3 linked regions of the Oryctolagus cuniculus genome follow. The protein of the gene in region 2 purifies or fractionates together with the protein of the main gene of each other region. This does not show direct contact. Links are inferred from orthologs where the notes say so. Each region holds a gene or a part of one and is shown on either strand. Other genes may lie near its edges.

Evidence for each region. The genes of interacting proteins can lie anywhere in the genome.
Region 1: the proteins of RNPS1 (region 2) and AP2A1 purify together in Homo sapiens (co-immunoprecipitation; 3 studies listed by BioGRID and IntAct, with this or other methods). This does not show direct contact. The link is inferred for Oryctolagus cuniculus from reciprocal best matches to the Homo sapiens genes RNPS1 and AP2A1.
Region 3: the proteins of RNPS1 (region 2) and UPF3A purify together in Homo sapiens (co-immunoprecipitation; 4 studies listed by BioGRID and IntAct, with this or other methods). This does not show direct contact. The link is inferred for Oryctolagus cuniculus from reciprocal best matches to the Homo sapiens genes RNPS1 and UPF3A.

The regions. Positions count from the first base shown.
Region 1 is NC_091449.1:7,751,170-7,755,298, forward strand, and holds part of AP2A1 (AP-2 complex subunit alpha-1), read right to left. Parts: intron 3,342-4,129; coding exon 3,212-3,341; intron 2,975-3,211; coding exon 2,873-2,974; intron 2,160-2,872; coding exon 2,051-2,159; intron 1-2,050.
Region 2 is NC_091450.1:33,012,954-33,016,347, forward strand, and holds part of RNPS1 (RNA-binding protein with serine-rich domain 1), read left to right. Parts: intron 1-184; coding exon 185-340; intron 341-806; coding exon 807-998; intron 999-1,210; coding exon 1,211-1,313; intron 1,314-1,462; coding exon 1,463-1,616; intron 1,617-3,394. UniProt on the Homo sapiens protein: Part of pre- and post-splicing multiprotein mRNP complexes. Auxiliary component of the splicing-dependent multiprotein exon junction complex (EJC) deposited at splice junction on mRNAs.
Region 3 is NC_091440.1:47,144-51,272, forward strand, and holds part of UPF3A (regulator of nonsense transcripts 3A), read right to left. Parts: intron 3,926-4,129; coding exon 3,870-3,925; intron 3,776-3,869; coding exon 3,617-3,775; intron 54-3,616; coding exon 1-53. UniProt on the Homo sapiens protein: Involved in nonsense-mediated decay (NMD) of mRNAs containing premature stop codons by associating with the nuclear exon junction complex (EJC) and serving as link between the EJC core and NMD machinery.

The DNA.
Region 1 (4,129 bases), on a different chromosome or scaffold from region 2:
CCCTCCCACCCGGGGGACAGCCCTGCCAGGGCTCGTGTCTCCTGGGGAGGACCCACAGGAGCCCTGCAGGCCCCCTCGGCCTCTGCTGGGGCCCAGCCTAGCAGGGAGGAGAGAAGGCGCCGTGGACAGAGGACGTCTGCAGGCCCGGGGTCACGCTGGGGGCCTCAGGGTCCCCTCCTGCGGGCTGATGCACCTCAGGACCATCTGGACCGCGGGGCCCCGCAGCGCAAAACCCTCTTCAAGTGACAAGGACGTCAGCCAGTCAACGTGAGGTCCGAGACGGGGCTGTGGCAGCGGTAATGCTGCTGGTTCCTGGGGTCCCTCTGGGTTAGCAGTGGTCTTAGGAGACGCGGGGGGAGGGGAGGGGAAGGGTGTGGCACCTGTGCTTCACTGCCTGAGGGGGCTGGGGGCAGACCCCGGTACAAACCCAGCAAAGTGCTAACAACCACCATGGAGTCGGGAAGAAGGGGCCTGGCGCCTGCTCTACTCGTCTCAGCGACCTCTATTTAGAATGGTGGTTGAAAGGCAGAGAGACAGATAGGACAGGTCTCCATCCACTGGTTCATTCCCCAAATGTCCACAGTAGCTGGGGCAGGGCCAGGTCAAAGCCAGGAGCTGGAGCTCCACGCGGGTCTCCCACGCGGGTCTCCCACGCGGGTCTCCCACGCGGGTGGCGGGGGCTCAGGCACTTGAATCACCACTGCTGCCTCCCAGAACGCACTGGCAGGAAGCTGGGTCAAGTTACCTTTATGTCTGAAAATGTTCATTATAAACAGCGGTGCAGAAGCTAATGGGCGGGGGGGGGGGGCAGCACTGTGGCACAGAGGGTAAAGCCACTGCCTGTGGCACCGGAATCCCATATGGGCGCTGGTTCGAGTCCCGGCTGCTCCACTTCCGAGCCGGCTCTGCCATGGCCTGGGAAAGCAGTAGAAGATGACCCAAATCCCTGGGCCCCTGCACCCACGTGGGAGACCTGGAAGAAGCTCCTGGCTCCTGGCTTTGAATCAGCCCAGCTCCAGCCATTGCAGCCATCTGCGGAGTGAACCAGCGGATGGAAGACCTCTCTCTCTCTCTCTCTCTCTCTAACTCTGCCATTCAAATAAATAAATCTTTAAAAAATATTTGAAGGTAAAACACGGTATCTGTGATTTACTCGTCCTAAGTATTGGAGGAAAGAATCCGTGAGTGGCATCTGTGGCCAGTGGGGCGCGCGGGCCGTGGGCTCGCCCTCCTTGTCTGGGTTCTGGGAACAAGATTCCCGGGAAATAAACGGGAGCAGCCCCACGGCCTGGCTGCAAGGCCACACGGGCCGTGCCCACACGCGAGGTGCTGCCCGGGCCCACAGCGGAAGTGAGGCCACACGGCACCTGCCACGGCTCCACGGCTGGGAGGGGCCTCTCAGGTCCCCGAGCTCCTGAGCTGTTACGGGGGATGCCCAGGCACACAGGCAGACACGCGTGCAGACGTGTGCACACACACTTGCACATGCGGCTGGCAGGGGAGACCAGTGCCACACACGAGAAGGAACGGCTTGTCGGCAGGCGCCGTATGCCGTGTCCCAGCGCTCGGTGCTGAGCTGCACTGCGGGGCAGCCGGAGCCCGGGGCCTGGCCCCGCCGCAGGGAAGGGTGCTGAGCAGGTTCCAGGACCGGGCTGGGCCACTCACGGACTGCGCCAGGGTCCGAGCCTCAGCTCTGCGGGGAGGGGCGGACGGCAAGCATAGACCTGGCTCGCTGTGGGAACTTCGCTGCCACCTGTCCTGACTGTGGGCTGGGAGGAAGCCCCTCAGGGACAGGCCCCACCTCAAACAGCCCACTGACCGGCGGGCCGGCCTGGCTGCGATGCCCGATCCCAGCCCTGGCCCCTGGGTCGCCACCCCTCGCCTCGGGGCTGGGCGGGAGCCGGGCAGCAGGGCCCAGCTCTCCGCCTGCTGCTGGGTGCCGTGCAGTCTTGAGGTCAGCACCGCCTGCCCTGCCCTGCCCATGCCGCAGGTACCAGCCTGGCTGGACAGAAATCCTCGTCAACGTCCGCAGCCGAGCGCCCCGGGGTACCTGGCGGGGGGTAGCACTGCAGCAGCCGCAGGAGCTTCACCGAGAGCCAGGGCGCCGGGACGAAGTAGTACGTGTAGTCCTGGAGGTCGGTGGAGGCCGAAGAGACGATCTGGGGTGAGAAGGCGTGAGGAGTGGGCAGGGGCCCCCACGCTGTGGGCGAGAGGCAGGCTGCGCGCGCCGGGCTGAGGGTCCCCGAGAGGGTGGAGCTGCGCCTGGGCCTGCACGTGGCTGGTTTTCCACGTGCGGCTGCAGGCGGGAGGCCCAGCGCCAAGCCCAGGCCCACTCCTCGTGACGGACGACGGGGGCCTCCCTGATGGCCCCGGCTCCCTGGAGGCAGGAACCAGGCCCCTGGGCCCGACGCTGGATGGGGCGGAGCAGGATTTAGGGACGCACTGAGACACAAAGAGCTCACGGGACTTCCCTCTGCTCACAGTGAATTCCTCTCCAACCGGGAAAACCCCTCCTCTGTGCGCCCCGTGACGGCACTGCCCACCCACCAGTGTCTCCAGGCCCCTGGCCGGGAGCCATCAGGGTGAGGGCTGGAGGCGCTGGGTGTCCCCCACCTACTCCACTGCCCTGTGCTCCACCCTCTGTGAAGGGAGCGCCTCCCCCAGGAAGCCTTCTGGGACTCCCAGCTGGGCTCCTGTGCCTCCGGCCACCACAGCACGCACGGCCCTGAGTGTGGCCCCCTGACCGAGTCCCCTGCCCTCTCGCCTGCCCAGGGCCACACAGCCAGGAAGCGGCTGCGGGGGAGGGCAAGCAGAGCGGCGCAGGGCCACCTCGCAGGGCCACCTCGCAGGCCGGCGCCGGGATGGCACGTACCCGGCTCAGGCGCGACACAGCCAGGGAGACGCACGTCTTGAAGTCGTCGGGGTTCTTCTTGCAGAGACAGGTGATGAGGCTGACGGCGGCCGTGACCACGCCCTGCAGGGGGCAGACAACACCTGAGGGCAGAGCCGGCGGGTGACAGCGGTCTCTGCTGCGGGGCCGGGAAGCTCCAGGTGGCAGAAGCGTCTCAAACCCTGAGGGGCTGGGTGGGGGTGGTGACAAGGGGCTGGGAACAGGGCCGCTGGGCAGCCTGGTGGGGCCGCGGGTGGCGGCGGGCGTTCTGGAGCAGGGCCGCGCAGGGTCTGTGGCAGCTGGGCGGGGGGGGGGCCTCACCATGTGCTGGTCATTGAGCAGGTGCACCACGCGGGCCGTCCACTCGCCCATGGGCACCAAGTCAGGCGAGGCCTTGTAGAGCCGCAGCAGGCACAGGGCCGCGCTCTGCTTCACGCTGTCCATGCTGTCCCTGCGGCCACACAACGCGGGTGCAGGCAGTCAGTGCCGTCCCGCTCCGCACGGCTCCCCCATGCCTGCTGCTCCCCAGAGGGCGGCAGTGTGGCCCGGTCCCACCTGGCGCTGCCCTCGCTGGGTCACAGGCGTGTGCTGGCCCTTGCAGACAGGCAGCGGCCCCTGCTGGAGCGCGTTCACGGAGCACGCTCAGCTCCCGGGTTCCCCGCCGGGAAGCCAAGGGGGCGAGGAGAGCGCAGAGCCGGGCGACGGCGAGGCCATTTTGGACCCGGGACTCGCATCCCTGCCCCGACCTGCGAGACCTGGACTGAGCTCCAGGCACGTGGCGCAGGCCTGGCGGCTGCAGGCATTTAAAGAATGAAGCGGTGGATGGAAGATCTATTTGTCTATGACTCTGCCTTAGTATATTTTTTTAAGACCTATTTATTTGAAGGGCAGAGTTAGAGAGAGAGAGAGAGGTCTTCTATCTGCTGGTTCACTCTCCGCATGGCCACAACAGTGAGGGCTGCACCAGCCTAAGGTCAGGAGCCAGGAGCTCCATCCACGTCTCCCACACGGGAAGCAGGTGCCCAAGCACGTGGGCCCTCCTCCACTGCCTTCCCAGGCCCCTCTGCCTTTTACATAAAGATACACTGCTCCAAACTGTCTACTGTGAAAAAAGTACGGATTAATTCCAAAAACATTTGCACCAAAACAAACTGACCTTTTAATTCCATTTTTCTATGAACTCTGTCACTCTGCCTCTCAAATGAACAATAGATGGTAAAAGGAAACAGAACTGTGGTG
Region 2 (3,394 bases):
TTTTCTAGTGCTACATCGGGGGTGCTCACCGCTAGGGACCCTGAGAGAGGGGAAGAGGAGAGTGCGGCCCACCGGAGTGCTCGGGCACCGGGGTCTCTAGTCTCCCGGACCCCCTCTTCTGGGTGTGCTGTTTCAGGGCCTGCTCGGAGGAGCAAGCGCTCTCACACTCTTCCTCACCGTGCAGGGCTCCCTCTCCTACCAAGCGCAAAGACCGCTCTGACGAGAAGTCCAAGGACCGCTCCAAAGATAAAGGGGCCACCAAGGAGTCCAGTGAGAAGGACCGCGGCCGGGACAAGGCGCGGAAGCGGCGCAGCGCTTCCAGCGGCAGCAGCAGCACCAGGTGGGGCGGGCGGGCCGGCGGCAGCCACAGCCGCCTCTCCACACGCACCTGCACGCTGGTGCCAGAGACCCCGGTGCCAGGCCGCTCAGGGTCTGCTCTGGGTGTACGGAGGGACGGCCTTTCTCCTTTCTGTGATGGCAGGGAGAGTGGTGTTGCGTGCGGCGTGTCCTGCGCTGCCGTGTGCTCACACTGCCCGGTCGGGAGCTTATCCTGGTGGTTGGAAACCGGCCCAAGTCAGTGAGCAGCGGCCTCCCGGGCAGAGCTGGCGGCTCTGGCTGCGCCGAGGGCCTCAGCGGGAGAGGCTTCTGTGCAGGCGGAAAGTGGCCGGGTCCTTTTGCCTGCCTCCAGGCGCTTGGGCAGGGGGCGCCTCCCTCAGGCGGGAGAGCGCAAGCGTGCAGACGCCCGGGGTCTGGTGGAGGAGCAGCTCCCGCCTGTTGCGGCGGTGACCCTTGGTGTCCTGCCTCAGGTCTCGCTCCAGCTCCAGCTCCAGCTCGGGCTCCAGCACCAGCACGGGCTCCAGCAGCGGCTCCAGCTCCTCCTCGGCGTCCAGCCGCTCCGGCAGCTCCAGCTCCTCCCGCAGCTCCAGCTCCAGCAGCTCCTCTGGCTCCCCGAGCCCCTCCCGGCGCAGGCACGACAACAGACGGCGCTCGCGCTCCAAGTGAGTAGGCCAGCCCGCGTGCCAGCCGGGCGGTAAACGCACCGAGTGTTTCTGTCCCGATAGGCTGTAAGCCGGGGTGACATGCATACACTGGTAGCAGAGTTTCCTTAGAAAGTGTTGGGTACGCAGGTAACTTCCACTAAAGGGAGTCCAGTGCGTTTTGAATTGACAGGAATTGTTTGTTGTGGTGTTTCATTGTCTTCCTCACTCAGATCCAAACCCCCTAAAAGAGATGAAAAGGAGAGGAAAAGACGGAGCCCGTCCCCTAAACCCACCAAAGTGCACATTGGGAGGCTCACCAGGAACGTGACCAAGGTGAGGGTCCCGGAGCCAGGCGGGACCGTGGGGGGTGCGGGGGTGCGGGGCTCGGCAGAGCTCTGGCTGACTCCGGAGTGTTACACAGGCCTCGGAGGCTGATCGCAGGATGAAGTAATGGGTGGTTGAATGAGCTTTCTTTCCTCCAGGACCACATCATGGAGATATTTTCCACCTATGGGAAGATTAAAATGATTGACATGCCTGTGGACAGGATGCACCCCCACCTGTCCAAAGGCTACGCCTATGTGGAGTTTGAGAACCCGGACGAGGCCGAGAAGGCACTGAAGCACATGGACGGAGGTCGGTGGCCCTGCTGGCGCGCTCCGGCCTCTGAGCCCTCCTGGGAGCTCTGGGGTTCCAGTGCGGGTGTGCTTACCAGAAACGTGTTTTTGTGGCACACTTGGTTTGGAAAAACATCCCACAATATGAGTGTATCAGCATTTTAGGGAACTTTCCATCTGTTAAAAGCTTAAATATCAGACAGGCTATACAGATATGCTTGGCTTTTCTCATTCTTTTAAGATTTATTTATTTGAGAGACAGGCACAGAGAAAGAGCGAGGTCTCCCATGTGCTGTTTGACTCCTCAGCCACCGCAGCCAGGGCCGGGCCAGGACCCAGGGACTCCATCCTGGTCGCCCGTGGGGAAGCAGGGGCCCAAGTACTTGGCCACCATCTGCTGCTTTCCCGGGCATGTTGGCAGAGAACTGGGTTGGAAGTGGAGCAGCCGAGACTGAACTGGCAACTGTGCGTGGGATGCTGGAGGTTGTAGGCTGTGGTTTCACAAACCTCTCCGCCATAGTCCAGCCCCTGTTGGGCTTTTTATTTCCTTTTCATTGCTTCTGAGTCATTTTTTTGTTTGCCAGTATTTTTAGGATTCCTTTGTTGAGTGGTAGGTTTGCTGAAATCACAAAACTTACTCTTAAATACTTGTGGCCTTCAGCTGCTTGTGATGTGTAGAGCTGTTTGTGTTGAGCAGAGTGTGTTGCTTGATTTTTTTTTTAAAGATTTATTTATTTGAAAGAATTACACAGAGGAGGAGAGGTGCGGAGAGAGGTCTTCCATCCTCTGGTTCACTCCCCAGTTGGCCACAACGGCCGGAGGTGGGCCCATGTGAAGCCAGGAGCTTTTTCCTGGTCTTCCCATGCAGGTGCAGGGGCCCAAGGATTTGGGCCATCTTCTGCTTTCTCAGGCCATAGAGAGCTGGATCAGAAGTGGAGCGGCTGAGTCTTGAACCCTTTTGGAAGGTGCCGGCACTGCAAGGGGTGGCTTTACCCGCTACACCACAGCACCGGCCCCGAGTGGAGTGTGTGTGTTTTTTTGTTTGGTTTGGTTTTTGTTTGTTTGTTTGACAGGCGGAGTAGACAGTGAGAGAGAGAGACAGAGAGAAAGGTCTTCCTTTGCCGTTGGTTCACCCTCCAATGGCTGCTGCAGCTGGCGCACCGCGCTGATCCGAAGCCAGGAGCCAGGTGCTTCTCCTGGTCTCCCATGGGGTGCAGGGCCCAAGCACTTGGGCCATCCTCCACTGCACTCCCGGGCCACAGCAGAGAGCTGGCCTGGAAGAGGGGCAACCGGGACAGAACCGGCGCCCCTACTGGGACTAGAACCCGGTGTGCCAGTGCCGCAGGTGGAGGATTAGCCAAGTGAGCCGCGGCGCCGGCCTGGAGTGGTCTTTACAGCACATGAGTAGTTGTGGATGACCATTTTTGTGTTGCCTTTCAGTCGGCACGGTAAGGAATGCCGGGCTTGCCTCTGCCCAGCTTCCTGCTTGCTGTAGTTGGGCTGGGGCTGAGTTCGGCAGCCCACAGGGAGGAGAGGGAACGCCTGAGTAGCTTCCCAGTTTCTGTGAAAAATCGCCTGTGGGTATTAAGTTCTCCCAGTACTTAGCCAGCTTCTCTTTCAGTTGACTTGAATCCCTCTGGAGTGTTCTGGGAACTCCGTGTGAACTGTGTCGCTCCCACCTGCTTCTGGCCTTGTGATTTGCCTCTTCGCTTCAGAGTCTGCAGTTGGCTGGCGTTTGAGACTGGGGAGGCTGGGGCTGTGTGTGTGTCCTCAGATGGAGTGGGTGCCCACTGCCTC
Region 3 (4,129 bases), on a different chromosome or scaffold from region 2:
TCTTTTGGTTTCTCTGTAGTTGGTTCCTCTCCCTTTTCTGGTTTCTTAAGAAGCTGAGAAATTATGATATTAGTAAAATACCAACCTCAAGAGCACATTATAAAAGTAGTTGTTAAATAAAAATATATACTAAATATCAAGCCCAAATATCTAAGTAACAAAATGATGTAAGCTGAAAGTCCAAAAAAACCACCTGGATTTGGTTCAATACAGTCAATATTTCAGCCACTAAAATATTCTGTAGTTACAAGAAGTGGTGTGGCAGTTGATGTGGTGAATTAAAAAATGTCACAAACAGGAGGTTCACAATTTTCCAATTTCAATGTGAAAGTTAATGCATCCACAGTTGTATGCCATTTAACAACATTCTGGATGCATGTCCCTAGGCAGTCATGTTATGCAAACACCACAGAGTGTGCTCGTACAGACACAAGCTGCGCCATCCCCAGGCCATGTGGTCTCACAGGGCCTCCACTGCATACACCATCTGTTGTGGATCACAATGTCCTACGAGGCTGTGACTTATCTAGGTACACACACAGAGAACTGTCTGAAAGGCTCTCTGTATATGGTGTGAACAGTGACTACCAGTCTCTGAGGATTTTCTTTCCTTCACCACAGGTTCTAGTTTACCTAAAATAAACAAGTATTATTTCTGTAATTTTTTTCAAAAAGTTGCTTTAGGTAGATGGCTTTTAGGACACTTTACAGCTTTCAAAACTTATGACCCTCTTTCTTACAGCACGTGCAGCAAGATGCTGGGACACATCTAATTTGACTGTCTTTGCATCAGGGCCTGTACAGGTAGAATCCTTTGTAGAATAGAGCCAGCAGATGCACTTCTGGGAATTTTATTCTCATAAAATTGAACATATTTTAAATTTCAGTGTAGCAAAACTAGTTATGTTCAGTTAAATGAGTTCACTTACAAACAAAAAAGACGTAAGTTGAGGAAAACACTAGAAGTTGTTTCTCATCACGTGAGTGCATTGTAATCCTGTGTGGACTCCCTAAATTTGACCTTCCCCTCAGCGAGTACACTGCTCTCTCTGACAGCAGCAATACATCTGTAATAAATGCAAGCTCTGGGTAGGTCCAAGTCTCCACCTGCACTCATCCAACAAATGACTCTGTACCCACAATCTTCACTCTGTGCCTCTGATACCATCTGCCTGGGGCCAGCTCAGGCCTCACAAGTTAGGACATGACACTGATGAGGGCAACAGAAGGAGCTGGAGGGCTCCACAGGAACAAGGTGGAAATTGAGGCTAGATGAGAAGGCATCACAGCATATCTGGGTGGAGGGAGTAGGCACAGAAGCCTGAGGAAAACAGCAGGTGCACTTGAAAAAAATTCATCAAGCAAGAGAGCTGGAGATGAGCCAGGAACACTCATAGAAGAAGGTGGAGTGGATGTGTGGGAGCGCCACAAGGTCATCAGGAGATGAACAGCTACTGACAGGTGTGTTCTCGCCCAGCATCCATGTCTGCACGTAACCTGGTCACACACCCTCGTCTGTGCTCAAGCTCATACATGTACCTCAGTCACACACACACACCTCATCTTTCCTTACACTACGTATGTGTAACCCATACTCACATGACTCATCTGTGCTTACACTACTTACGTGTAACCCAGTCATATACACAGAATCCTTGTATGTGCTTATGCTTATACATGTACCTCACTCTCACACACACATACACCTTCATATGTGTGTACACTATATACATGTAACCTGGTCACACACAAAGCCCTGCCTATGCTCGTAACTTGGTCACACACTATATAATGTGCAACCCATCACAGACACATACATCTTTTTTGAAGCACTCCATGAAAAAGATCACACAATTTCCTAGATGATGTTGTCTAGCCTTTAACTTGTACGTTCTGGAATTTCACTTCTAATTTAAGCTCACAGCACAGTTTCAGAGTTCTCAGGGGGAACTCAACAGCTGGGTCGCTCCTACAGTTAGGACTGGTCACGAGGACATGCTCCACATCTCTGCCTTTCATCTGTCGGCATATTGCTCCACACATTTTGTTTGTTTGTTTTTAATAATTTAAATTCTCTGAATGACTTGTGGTCACAGATCCCCAAGTTGAGCACAGATGTTTATCAAAAACTAAGCTTGGGGCTGGACGACCTGAATCTCAAATGTCATGTTTGGCCACTGTGCCAGACACTCAGGGCAGAAGCCAGGGTTGGTTGCTCCCTGTTGCTGCCTCCGATCTGCCACCTAGAGTTTGTTTTACCAGATTTGGATGAAATCAGCTCTTTCTCATGCTACGTTTATTCTGATTTTTTTTTCTTTGTGAAGGACACTGAACTTACTTTTACTGACTTAAATCTGTTTCATTTCTTTGACTTATTTTAGATTCTAATTTCATTCTTTAAAAAAACATAAAACTAAAATGCTATACCCCAAAAGTTCTACTTGAAATTATAGTTGACATGGGCTATAAGTTTCAATGGTTCTTTCTGAAAACTGTCAGTAAGAAGCTGCTGACAAGTGATTTTGAGAATGTAAAGCATGAGGCACTGGGGTAGCTGTTGGTCTCGTCTGGAAAGGGAAACGAAAATGAGATCAGATGATGTTTGCATGCCAGTGACCGTAATATTTACAAATAGGTCACTCCTGGTGCATGAGCAGGAAGTGACAGAGCTAGATTTATTAGCTGTCTTTCAAGGACTGTCAGTTCTTACTTTTGAGAACATGTTTGTTAGAAGAAATCCGTTTGCTATACTTTGGTTATGGAGAGCTGTGTTTGTGCATCAAAGAGGCAAGGACACAGAAAAAGAAGGGTTCGAAGTTGCTTCCCAAGGAAAAGCCTGGTTTTGTCCATTCAGCCCCTCTCCTTGCCAACAAGGGATCGACCACCTTTATTTAACAGCCTTGGTTGGGCTCCTGAATTTCACCTATGTTATCAGATTATGCAATTTTAAAACCACATAGATCTTTACACAATTCTTATCAAAGCAAACTTAAACTGTTACAGACGAATGTTTTAGGGACAGATGCTTTATCTATTCCTCCTGCACATCTGTATCTTTTATCTCTGAAGCAAATGTGCTTGAATGACATTCTATTCCCTCTTAAGTTTTGAAGACAGAAACATTTTAAGAAACAGTGTTGTTTATTAGTGCTGCTCAGTTATTCCCGGCTTCCTTGGAAAGCCATATGACTGGCATGGGCAGAAAAAACACATGGCACCTCCTCTTGCAAGCTTTGAGAACTGTGTGCCGTTTTCCAAGTCACACATCCCTTTCCTGTCACAAAGACTGACAGCAGATGCCAAGATGGAGCCTCCATCAGCTTGGGTCACCAGATGACCACTGCAAGCCATCTACTGCTGCAGAAGAGACACATGAGCAAGAAACAAACTGCAGTTTGGTTGGACCCAGAGATCCTGAGACTGCAAGCTCCTGCAGCACAGCCTGGCCAGGCTTGCACGAGGAAAATGGTCGTGTGTTTTTTGAGGGTTACTGTTCAGGAACTGTTCACTCTATCACTAGTGAATTCCACGGGAGAAGTTATGTTACAGAAAATCCTTTGCTTCCCTAGAAAAACTATTCCTAGAAAAAAGAAATGGAATGTTTCTCCAAAATTACCTTAATCTTTACTTCTTTCTCTGCAGTTTTCTTTTGCTTATCTGCCTCTTTTCTTTTGCATCTCTCCTCTTCTCTTCTTTTTCTTTTCTCTTCTTCCCGCAAGCGTTTCTTTTCTAACTCTCTTCTCCTTCGTTCTTCTCGTTTCTCCTCCCGAATTCTCTGCATCCATGGAAAAACATGAGTATGAATCATCTGCATGGAAATGGCAGATCCAGGAAGGAAGGACACTCACCAGGTAGAGGGCCAGACCTACCTGCTTTTCCAATTTTCTATTTTTAATATATTCCAAAAGAGGTGTAGTTCTTCTAGCTAAAACACAGAAATTTTGTGGCATTTAATTCCAAAAACACGACTTCTTTTCAAGTACTTATCTTCAATTTAACCCTTAAGTAATTAGAGGAATAGTATTATTCGTGAAATTTACATGGGCATACACTGTACCAGAGTTCTTGGACACAGCTAATTCCTGGCTCTTTAGAGTCATAAAACACCACTCACAAAGATGGCATAAAA